Linked DNA regions of Oryctolagus cuniculus. The protein of the gene in region 3 interacts with the protein of the main gene of each other region in a pairwise test. Links are inferred from orthologs where the notes say so. Each region holds a gene or a part of one and is shown on either strand. Other genes may lie near its edges. The genes, in order: KCTD4, ZBED1 and EFHC1.

The links.
Region 1: the proteins of EFHC1 (region 3) and KCTD4 interact in binary tests that used the Homo sapiens proteins (3 or more experiments, as listed by UniProt). The two-hybrid records come from large-scale screens. The link is inferred for Oryctolagus cuniculus from reciprocal best matches to the Homo sapiens genes EFHC1 and KCTD4.
Region 2: the proteins of EFHC1 (region 3) and ZBED1 interact in binary tests that used the Homo sapiens proteins (3 or more experiments, as listed by UniProt). The two-hybrid records come from large-scale screens. The link is inferred for Oryctolagus cuniculus from reciprocal best matches to the Homo sapiens genes EFHC1 and ZBED1.

The regions. Positions count from the first base shown.
Region 1 is NC_091440.1:64,328,683-64,332,434, forward strand, and holds the start of KCTD4 (BTB/POZ domain-containing protein KCTD4), read right to left. Parts: upstream 2,244-3,752; 5' UTR 2,027-2,243; intron 1-2,026.
Region 2 is NC_091433.1:98,523,395-98,527,046, reverse strand, and holds part of ZBED1 (E3 SUMO-protein ligase ZBED1), read left to right. Parts: coding exon 1-977; 3' UTR 978-3,652.
Region 3 is NC_091436.1:117,561,953-117,565,704, reverse strand, and holds the start of EFHC1 (EF-hand domain-containing protein 1), read left to right. Parts: upstream 1-1,318; 5' UTR 1,319-1,491; coding exon 1,492-1,554; intron 1,555-3,752. UniProt on the Homo sapiens protein: Microtubule inner protein (MIP) part of the dynein-decorated doublet microtubules (DMTs) in cilia axoneme, which is required for motile cilia beating.

The DNA.
Region 1 (3,752 bases), on a different chromosome or scaffold from region 3:
AAGTTAATAACCATTATCTATGATCTCAAGATGAGGGACATGCCTGAAGATGATGGTGTTCAGTGACCAAAGAGGGTCTCTTCTCCCCAATGCTGTCCCCTCCCATTGTTCCTTCTGTTGCTGTCTTCACATCCTCTGTGTCTGCAGGGGGAGAAGGGAGCCTGAACAGACGTAAAGGCTATGTGACTTATGGGACAAATGTGCTTTCTTATTTACAGAGTAGAGCAGTTTTAAATTAGGGACAGAGAACTCGAGCGTATTTCACATTTTTTTTCATACTTGATGTTTCTGAAATTGAAGTATGTCAAAATGATTGGCTTGTCAAAGTTTAGTGGCAGCATTTTATGTTTCTAATGATACTGTGAATAATGGGGAATATTACAATTGATGTCATCTTTGAGTTAATGAAATATTTAGGCAGCCCCGTGAGCTCTTCCCCTCATGTCACAAGAAAATGAAATTTAAGGGGAGAGGAGAACGGAGGGAGGGAAGTGTGTGTGTGTAAAGGAGGATGAAGAGAGACAAAGAAAGAATTAAAGTTATCTGTGGAGGTTATACAAATGCTCCACAACACAGTAAACACAGAATCTTTGGGAGTGGGCCCAGTGAGGAGTGTGTGTGTGTGTGTGAGTTCAGCCTGCGGCGTCGGCACACCAGGTTCTAGTCCCGTTCGGGGCGCCAGATTCTGTCCCGGTTGCCCCTCTTCCAGGCCAGCTGTCTGCTGTGGTCCGGGAGTGCAGTGGAGGATGGCCCAAGTCCTTGGGCCCTGCACGCGCATGGGAGACCAGGAGAGGCACCTGGCTCCTGCCTTCGGATCAGCGCGGTATACTGGCCACAACGCACCGGCCGCAGCGGCCATTGGGGGATGAACCAACAGCAAAAGAAGACCTTTCTCTCTGTCTGTCTGTCTCTCTCTCTCACTGTCCACTCTGCCTGTCAAAACCAAACAAAAAGTGCCCTATTAAGGAAAAGGATGAGCTCAAGAAAGGGGATTGATCTCAAGGATCAATGGTGGGGTTGAAATCTCTACCCTTTCGTTGTGAGGGTCTCATAATTTCAGAATATCTGGAAAATCATAAAGAACTAAACTAGTATATGGGATGACTACTGTTACTAGTTAAACGTGGGAAAGAGACCAAGAGTTACGAAGGATACAAAATCAATGGAATTTGTAGCATATTCAGCTGAGTTAATACCATTAGCTGGTCTGTAAGTGTTTCATGAGTACTGAGTCTTCAGCTCTGTTGCAGTCTTCCTAAATGCAGGGGTCTTAAGTTCTGCTGTGGACTTGAGCGCTATTTGATCAAAGTAGCAGTGTGGTATAAGTCAGTGCTCCAGGAGACATGAGTTTTCCAGAAGGATGTGTTTCCTAATGCTTTAGGTATTTTTATACATCCCCCTCCTTGTTTCAAGTGTTACTTTACTGCAAGATGGAAATTACAAATTTAAATGATAATTTGTTCATCTTTAGACAGCAAGCTTTTTTTTTTTTTGTATTTATTTGACAGGTAGAGTTATAGACAGTGAGAGAGAGACAGAGAGAAAGGTCTTCCTTCTGTTGGCTCACTCCCCAAATGGCTGCTACGGCCACAGCACACTGAACATAGGAGGGGCCTTCAAAATGTTCATGGAAAAGGCACAGTATCTTTTAATCCTAGTCCTCCATAAACATTTTGAAACCTCATTATATTTCTGATTTGAATATTATTATGTGACTGATCATTCATTACCTTTGAGATCATCAAATGCTAACCCTAAAGGGTTAGGTTACTTTAATCTGATCATCATCTTTTATTCCTAAGATTCTTGAAAAGTAAATAGAGATAAGAACATATTTGCATATTTGAATAAAGACCAACTTCTATATTAATACTAGGATAGGAAGTTTGCCTATCTGGTTAAAATGCCAAGTGGCTTGTATTAATAGGCTTCATCTGAGAACCACAGGGTAGCAACAGCAGAAAACTGTGAAGAAATTGCCTCATGTGTAAAGAAAGGAGACAATTAGAAATGAAAAATGGTTTACCTTTGAAATGCACTTCGTCTCTGGGAATATCTCTTGTCCTTTTCCTGAGAGTGTAGACACAGGTGGGAGATACAGAAGAACCAGGGGAGTACTGCAGTCTTGAGGATCACCCCAAAATCTTGGCTGCTAACACCCTTGGTCTCTTCTACCTGGAGTCCAGTGAGCTCTTCAAGGCCTCCACATTCAGCTGGGTGCAGAGTGGGAATGGATGCCTCTAGCATCCTGATGCCTGTGACTTCCTGACATGCCTGATCTCATTGCTTACGTGCCAGTGCCAGCACCAGTGAGCACCCTTCCTGCTTACTCACTGCTTGTGTCACCTAGGAATTTCCTTAGCAGATGAAAAGGGCTATTCAGTCATTTCGGTTGTCCCAAAAAGAGTACATCTCAAGTTCAAATGCAGAGTAGGAAGATTCGGCCTAGAACAACATTTTGACCTTTTTCACGTCTTGGGCAGTTTTTTAATGTTTTGTTGTTGCTGCTGCTCTGAGAAACAGTTTCCCTGTAGTTTTTGCTCAAAGAAAATTTAATTATATTGGCTCCCTTAGAATGTACTAGAGCAAACAAAATAGCACCAATGAAGTAATCAAACACCCTCAGTTGGAGAGGAAGGCCAATGTTTTTGTAGTGAAATACAAGTAGAGAAGATCCCACAGGTTCCAATGGCTTCATTATATAGATGCTGTGGCACAGAGATGTGAATTTACTTCTGCAAACTAGCGCTAATTAGTGACAGAATCATAACTAGAAGCCTTCAGTTATTTTTATAAGATGTACTTTATGTAACCTGTGCTTTAAAATTTTCTGAAACTAAGTGATAGGAAGTACATAAACAATATACCATCACCAAAGGTGTTTGTACTAAGATTCTTTTGTTTTCAAGTAGCAGAAACCAGTTAACAAGCCAGGCTAGACAAAGAGGAGAGGTAGGTATGCCAGAATTTAGAAAGGAGCCATGAATATTTCCTGGAATCCAAGAAGTATTGAAGAAATGGCCAAGTGCTGGCCCCATCCTGCTTTAATATTTAATTTTAAAACTTATAAAAGTACATTTAGCTGCTGATTACATGGAAGACAAGGCCTTTGAGTATGGGGTGCTGAATGACCATCTGCTTTTTCTTTCCTGGAAAAATTAAACCCATAATTTAGTTTAGATTTTCAGTTTTGGTTGCTTCAAAAAGGAACAAGAACTTAAGACACTATGAAGCAACACAGGTGCAGATCTTTCTAGATTCTTATGTTTCTCTTCCTGTCTCTGCTTATCTCACACATACCTAAATTTTTTCCGGCAGTTTATATCAAGTATTAACAAAGCTTACCCCCTCACTTATACTCATAATTTGATGGGCTTATGTGTTATATAATAGAATTGCATAAATACTGAAACTAGCATAAACAAGTTCCAGCCTAGTGTGAGCAGAAGCATGTGGGAGTACCAGAGATTGACCTGCTATCCAGTATCGTATGGCAGGCTGTGGGCATCTGTCCCTGTGTTTGATATTGGGGAACGGAAAGCCTTCATTAGCATGGAAAGGAGTTCAGTGGAGGTGTATCATAAATGCTTCTGCTGATTTAAAATTGTCTACTATCTGTATGCCTTTTTACCATCCAGCTAGACTAGGAGCTTTCAAAATGTGGTCTGGGAATATGAGTAAAGGATGCCTGAGACCTTTTCATAATTACATTAAGCTGTTTTCATGCTCATTCTCTAAAAGTTTTCTAGTTT
Region 2 (3,652 bases), on a different chromosome or scaffold from region 3:
CTGTGCTGGTGGAGGACAGCAACAACCACCACCTTATGCTGGAGTCTGCTGAGTGGACCACTGTGGCGGGACTCGTGGACCTCCTGCAGCCCTTCCAGCAAGTGGCTGAGACACTGGCCACCTCCAGGTACCCCGCCATCAGCATGGTGAAGCCACTTCTGCACATGCTTTTGAACAGCACGCTCAGTGCCAAGGACACGGACCCCAAGGAGATCAGCATGGCTAAGGAGGTCATTGCCAAGGAGCTCTCCAGGACATACCAGGACAGCCCTGAGGTGGACCTGTTCCTGAACGTGGCTACCTTCCTGGACCCACGGTACAAGAGGCTGCCCTTCCTGTCTGCTTTCAAGAGGCAGCAGGTGGAGAACCGTGTGGTGGATGAGCTGAAGGGTCTTCTCGACAAGGCCCAGGATGCCCACTTGGGGCCGACAGCGTCTGAGGACAAGGTCTACCCTGTACCTGAAGAGCCGCCGGCCAAGAAGCTCCCGCTGGCATCCACACCCCCATCCAGTACCGCCATCCACGACCTGTTGGCTGAGATCTTCTGCCCTGTGGACTGTGGGGAGGACCAGGAAGAGTGGCACGCCCAGGCTATGGAGGAGCTGAGCAATTTCAAGTCACAGAAGCTGCTCGGCCTCCACGAAGACCCCCTCAAGTGGTGGTCGGATCGCCTAGCACTCTTCCCTGGCCTGCCCAAGGTGCTGCAGAAGTATTGGTGCGTGGCGGCCACGCGTGTCTTTCCTGAGCGCCTCTTTGGATCATCGGCCAACATGGTCAGTGCCAAGAGGAACCGCCTGGCCCCCGCGCATGTTGATGAGCAGATCTTTCTCTATGAGAATGCCCGGAGCTCTGGGGCTGAGGGTGAACCCCAAGATGAAGATGAGGGCGAGTGGGGCTTGGACCAGGAGCAGGTGTTCCAGCTGGGGGATGGCACCAATGGCACCTTCTTTGGCATCAGAGACACCAGCTTCTTATAGGGACAATGGTTTCCAATAGCTTGAGAACTGCGATGAATTCATCTTGAAAAGTCTTGTAGAAGTTGGCAGTAAGGCCATGAGGTTCTGGATTTGTCTGTCTGGGGAGGGTCTTTATGATTGATTCTGTGTCTTGACTAATGGGTCAGTTTAAGATTTTCTGTGTCTTCATGATTCAGTTTTGGTAGTTGTGTGGCCCACGGTGGGGATGTTTCCACTCTAAATATTGACTCGGCTGGCTCCATGTTGATCTCAGAGACAATGCACGGCATGTGAACTGAGACAGGTGAGAAGAAGGAAGAAGGGCATGGCCCTGAGCATCTTGGAGCCCACCAAATGAATTTTCCTCTGTGGGTTTCTCCTTATCCTTGAGACTCAGGAGATTAGCTCTGCACCCAGTTCCTGTCTGGCAGTTGCAAATCCCAAACCAGAGCACGCAGAATGTTTTTCCTCCCTGCAATTCATGTTCTTCCTGGGAGGGCTTTTGTTGCAGCCCTGGGCATCGTGGATGAAGGGGAGGAATGCCCGGAGCTCAGGTTGGGACACAAGGAACCTCCCCCAAGCATTGGTTATCATACATGAGCTTGCTGCACGTACACATCTTCCTTGAAAGCAGGAGGCTGCTTCCTGTGTAAACTTGGACAAGATTGCCATGTGCATCTCTTATAAATCCCCAAGTTTTATGGTTGGTGGTGAGAAGTGTTAATGAGCATAAAATGCACACATTTGGGTAAAAAAATGTTGTTGTGTGTGGGATATCTCTGGTCATACTGCCTGCAAATGGTCATCTCTAGTGTTGGCCAAATATTTGCTTTGTAGACACAGTCCTTCCAAGCTGTGGCATTCTGAGCCTGTGATTCCTGTGTCTCTTGATGTCTGATATGTGCAGTTGCTTTCGGGGTGATTGAGAATAAGGCTTTTCATTTTGTGACCTGCACTTGCCCAGCTCTTCACCATTCTGAAAAGTGAGGGTGACCAAGGCATATCTCTTGAATTCTGTTTTTCCACCTCAGTGACTTAGGAGGTGGTATAGTGTTATTTTTTTTAATTGTTATATTGTTTTGGGGGCAGAGGGTCATCATAGGTTTTCTTTGATAATTTTGGAGGAAGTCAAAAGACATTTTTCCAACAGGGGAATTATTTTAGAACTTGCCAGAAAGCCTGCTTTCCCTAAGAGGGACTTTGTGACTCCTGTTTTTAAAAAATTTTTGTAACCTTTTATTTGAGGTGTACAAACTTCATGAATTTCATGTAAACAAATTTAATGATTCTTCCCACGCCACCCTCCCTCCCTCCCACCCACACTCTCACCCTTCTTCCTCCTCCCTCTCCTAGTCCCATTCTTATTTTTTACTAAGAACTATTTTCAATTAACTTTATACATATACAATTAACCCTACACTAAGAGTTCAACAAATAGTATGAAAAACAACCAACAAAAAACCCCTTTTATTACACAGGAAAATGTGTGTTTCTGCAGACACCTGCCTCTCCATGCCTCATTTCTCATTTTTTAAGCCTTTTCTGTGTTTTTTTTTTTTTTTCATTGTTGCTTTACTCACTGACTCTTGGTGTGGGCATTTCACGGTTGAGGTGGCTGTGTCTCATATCTCAAAGCCTGGGTTCAGTCCCAGCTCCACCCCCCAAATCCAGCTTCCTGCTAAGGCGGATCCTGGGAGGCAGCAGGTGATGGTGCAAGTGTTCGGGTCCCTGCCACTCACCTGAGAGACCTGGATAGAGTCCCAGTCCCTGGTTTCCGCCTGCCTAGTCTCAGCTGAGAAGACGGCCCTACAGCTGCTTTTTTTTTTTTAACTTTTATTTAATGAATATAAATTTCCAAAGTACGACTTATGGATTACAATGGCTTCCCCCTCATACCGTCCCTCCCACCTGCAACCCTCCCCTTTCCCACTCCCTCTCCCCTTCCATTCACATCAAGATTCATTTTCGATTCTCTTAATATACAGAAGATCAGCTTAGTATACATTAAGTAAGGATTTCAACAATTTGCTCCCACACAGAAACATAAAGTGAAAAATAATAGATGATTTTTTTAAATGATGATGAAATCAGATCAGACCTATTGTCATGTTTAATCCCAGTGAGAGTCAAGTTGGGAATTGATAAATTTTTTTTTAACAGAAGATCAGTTTAGTATGCATTAAGTAAAGATTTCAACAGTTTGCACCCCCATAGAAACACAAAGTGAAAAATACTGTTTGAGTACTCGTTATAGCATTAAATCTCAATGTACAGCACATTAAGGACAGAGATCCTACATGAGGAGTAAGTGCACCGTGACTCCTGTTGTTGACTTTACCAATTGACACTCCTGTCTATGGCATCAGTAATCTCCCTATGCTCCAGTCATGAGTTTCCAAGGCTATGGAAGCCCTCTGAGTTCTCCGACTCTTGTTTAAACAAGGTCATAGTCAAAGTGGAGGTTCTCTCCTCTCTTCAGAGAAAGGTACCTCCTTCTTTGAAGACCTGTTCTTTCCACTGGGATCTCACTCACAGGGATCTTTTTGCCAGAGTGTCTTGGCTTTCCATGCCCTACAGCTGCTTTTCTCTAGAACGTTCTCGGTGGCTTCTTCCATTCCCCAGAAGCTTGCTTTTCTTGCCTGTTGTGGCTACAACACAATGTGGTGAACTTTGTCAGTGACTCCAAGTTCAGATTC
Region 3 (3,752 bases):
TAACTCCGCTTGTAAAAAAAAAAAAAAAAAAAGGACAAGAATGGGAAACAGGTAGTAGGGGACGAGGGAGTCACTAGACAAGAAACTCTTTTGGGCTGGGTGTGGTAGACAGGCATCAAAAACTGCCTCAGGAGCCACTGAGTGCATTCCTGTCCTAGGCACCCCTGATGTTCATACCAACTGGTAAAATCCAACAGGGAGATTTGCTCCAGCAAGCAGCAATAAAAAGTAAAGCTGCCATCTATACAAGCAGGAAATTACCCACGAAGGTGACTTGCACTTCTGTGTGAGGCTTGCTACACTATCACGTTCCTAAGCTGACAAGTCAGAAACACCTGTTAGAAAAATCAGATTCCTGGGATCCACTTCAGACCCAATGAGTACAAATCTCTGGCCTCCTATGTTTGCTTTTTGTCTTTAAGATCTTTAGGCTGATGAATAGCGCTTTTTCCCCCCCTCCTAAAATGTCTCAGGAATAGGATAACATTTCTTTTAAGGAAAAACAAGTTTTGTAAAAGGCACCAAAGGCCAGAACACTTATGACGCTGATGATATTTCACCTCAGTTATTTGTTTCTTTCTCATCACCTAGTGTTTCTCCTTGAATCAGCTGTTTACCTTTGCGTTTCTTATCTTTGCAGTTGCAAGTACAAACTGGATTGGGATGAGCAACCTCTAGCTCTTGAGTCAACAAACGTTGAGTTCTTAGAGCATCGCATAGCGTCTGAAAGAGAAGATGCAAGGCACGCCACACAAGAACCGAGAGGGAGCTGAGCTGCAGGGGCTGACAGTGGAAGAAGGAAGGCTGAAGGGAACGGGGGATAATACAGCAACGAGACGATTAGGGACGAGATGGTTGCACTGGTTCACTGACCATCCCTGCACAACAGAAATACAACCATGAATGATCCGCAGTCCCTGTCCCCAAAAAGTGTGGGTCTGAGTTGGGTTCACACTTTCACCCGGACTAACCATCACACTAGGACAGGATTCCTTTTCCCAGAGCTGGGTGAGAAGAGTGCCTGGGCTCACGAAGCCCTCAGTGCGCGGTGAGATCGGCGAGGACCAGGGTGGGGCCAAGGAAGGCACCTATCTTCTGCAACTCCTCTAAGGGCCAGCTCGGACCCTGGACCTCCCAGCAAGAACGAACAGCCTCCTTTGCACCCGCCTTTTCCTACCCTGTCCCACAGCCCCCACGTAGCATCTTGGGGCAGACCGGCGGCGGTGACGCGGGGCAGGCGTGGCCATCTCGGAAACGCCCACTAGCCGCGCCCCGCCGTCGCGACCGCCTTACCGCGAGAATACGCAGCCCCGCGGCTGCGCACGCGCAGACCTCTCACGCCGGCGCCTCCGGCCCCGCCCCTGGCTCACGGGCTCTCAGGATGTTTGGGCGTTACCATGGAGCCTGGGGCGGCCTGCCAACGCGGCTGGTCGCCCCGGCAACCAAAGTGGACCATACCTGACCTAGCTGGCGGCGAGGATACCGGCTGCGATGGTGTCCAACCCCGTGCATGGCCTGCCCTTTCTACCAGGCACGTCCTTTAAGGACTCCACGGTGAGGACTTAGGTGCCCAACACCCACCTGTCCCCACGTCCCCGTCCCTAGCGGGTTCCCCTCGTACTACACCTTCATTCCTCTCTACCCTTCAAACCGACCCTCTGCCCCGACCTCGTTCTTGCTTCTCCTCCCAAGTTCTGTCTTCCTCATTAACCTCGCCTCATCTTCCCTCTTCCGTCCCATGTCCTCGGCGCCGTCCCTCTCTGTGGTTTTCCCACGCCATCGTGGCAGTCTGTTGGCGCTTCTTGGCCCTCTTCCTCCGAGCCGCTTTTGCACTTGCTTTGCTGGTCCGGCCCCCTGCCTCTGCTCTCTGGATCAGTTTCCCCCTTCCAACTCCCGAGCTCTGGCCCGGCTCACTCTCCCACGCCGGGCCCTGTCTGCCCACCTTGTCCCCCGGCCTCTCTCTTCCGACACCGTCACTCCTGCCCCCCTATCCTACCCCCTCTGCCCAGGCCCGTCATTCTCCTCCGCCCTCCTCCTCCCTCTTCTGAATCCTGAACCCTATAGTCTCTCCCACGCCAGCTCCATGTCCTGTTTAATGGGCACATGGATCGTTTCCATTCATCCCTTCTTTCTGCCGGACTCTTCTAATATGCGCCTTTCTCTCCAGCCTGTCTTTTCTAGTCCCACCTTCTTCCTGTTCTTGTTTGCTCTCCCCCATGCAGTTTTTTTTTTTTTTAAACTTGCCCACCATCCTTCCCTACTTTCTAGGGGATACTCCATTCCATCCGCTTCTCCTCGACCACAGTTGATTGGTTGTTCCTTTCTCTTACCCAGTCTGATTCATTTCACTCCCGAGTATTTGTGAGATTCCTCTTTTGATTTTGTTTTGCTCTTTCCTCCAATAGCAGCAGCAGCTTAGCATTTGCTTTAATTCTAACATAATTGGTGAAATATATTTTCTGGAAAATCAGTATTCAGTAATTTTATAGGCAAAGCAACAATAATTTATATATTTTAATGATTTAAGCACTGAAATTCATGTTCATATTTAAACACTTAATTCCATGTTCATAAAATTAAGATAAAATATTTGCTCTGTTTTCTTTGGAAGAATGAATTTAAATTGAAGTTGAAATTTTAGTGAGAGAATTTGGGTTCTGATAGATTTCCAGTTTCAGTGGACTTTTTGGTTGTATGTGATTTAGACGATGTTGTATGCAGTTTCCTGCCCCATGCAGGATAAGCTTAAGCAGTTGGTGATGGGGAGTATGGGTTATCCACAAGGCAGGGTTGAGTTGCTTTGGGGCTTAAAGATGTGTGGATAGAAGTACCATGCCCTAAAGGTAGACAGATGTATTTCTATACTTTAAATAAGATAAACTGTGCATTGGACATGTTTCATATGTTTTATTAAATAATTTTCACTTATTCATTTGAGAGGGCGAGAGAGAGAGAGAAAGAAGGTTGCCATCTACTGGTTCACCTCACAAATAACTGTGACAGCCAGGGCTGGGCTGAGGCCCAAAGTGGGAGCCAGGAATAAAACCAGGTCTCCTACATGTGTAGCAAGAACCCAATCGTCTGGACTATCAACACTGGGTCTGGATTAGCAGTGAGCTGGAGTCAGGTGCCTGAGCCGGGTGTCAAGCATAAGTACTCCAATGTACTATGTGGGTGTCTTAACCACTAGACCAAATGCCTGCCGGTTTCACATTTTAAACATATTGACCAAGTGTCAAACAATTTGCTTTATTTGAGATTTGAACAACATGACCACTATCACTTCAACAGTAAAGACTAGATATGTGTAACTCTAAGGGTACTCAGAAGGTGAAACTGATAAGTAGGAGGGGTAGTGGCCTTGCTTCAGGTACCTTTGAGTCATAATTGATGATAGAGACATCTGTCTAAAGCCAGAAAAGCTAACTGAAGTCCTGTTGTCACTTCTGTCTTTAGAAGCAAAAGAAGGGCCGGTGCTGCGGCTCACTAGGCTAATCCTCCACCTTGTGGCGCCGGCACACCGGGTTCTAGTCCCGGTCGGGGCGCCGGATTCTGTCCCGGATGCCCCTCTTCCAGGCCAGCTCTCTGCTGTGGCCTGGGAGTGCAGTGGAGGATGGCCCAAGTACTTGGGCCCTGCACCCCATGGGAGACCAGGAGAAGCACCTGGCTCCTGCCATCGGATCAGCGCGGTGCGCCGGCTGCAGCGCACCAGCTGTGGTGGCCATTGGAGGGTGAACCAATGGCAAAGGAAG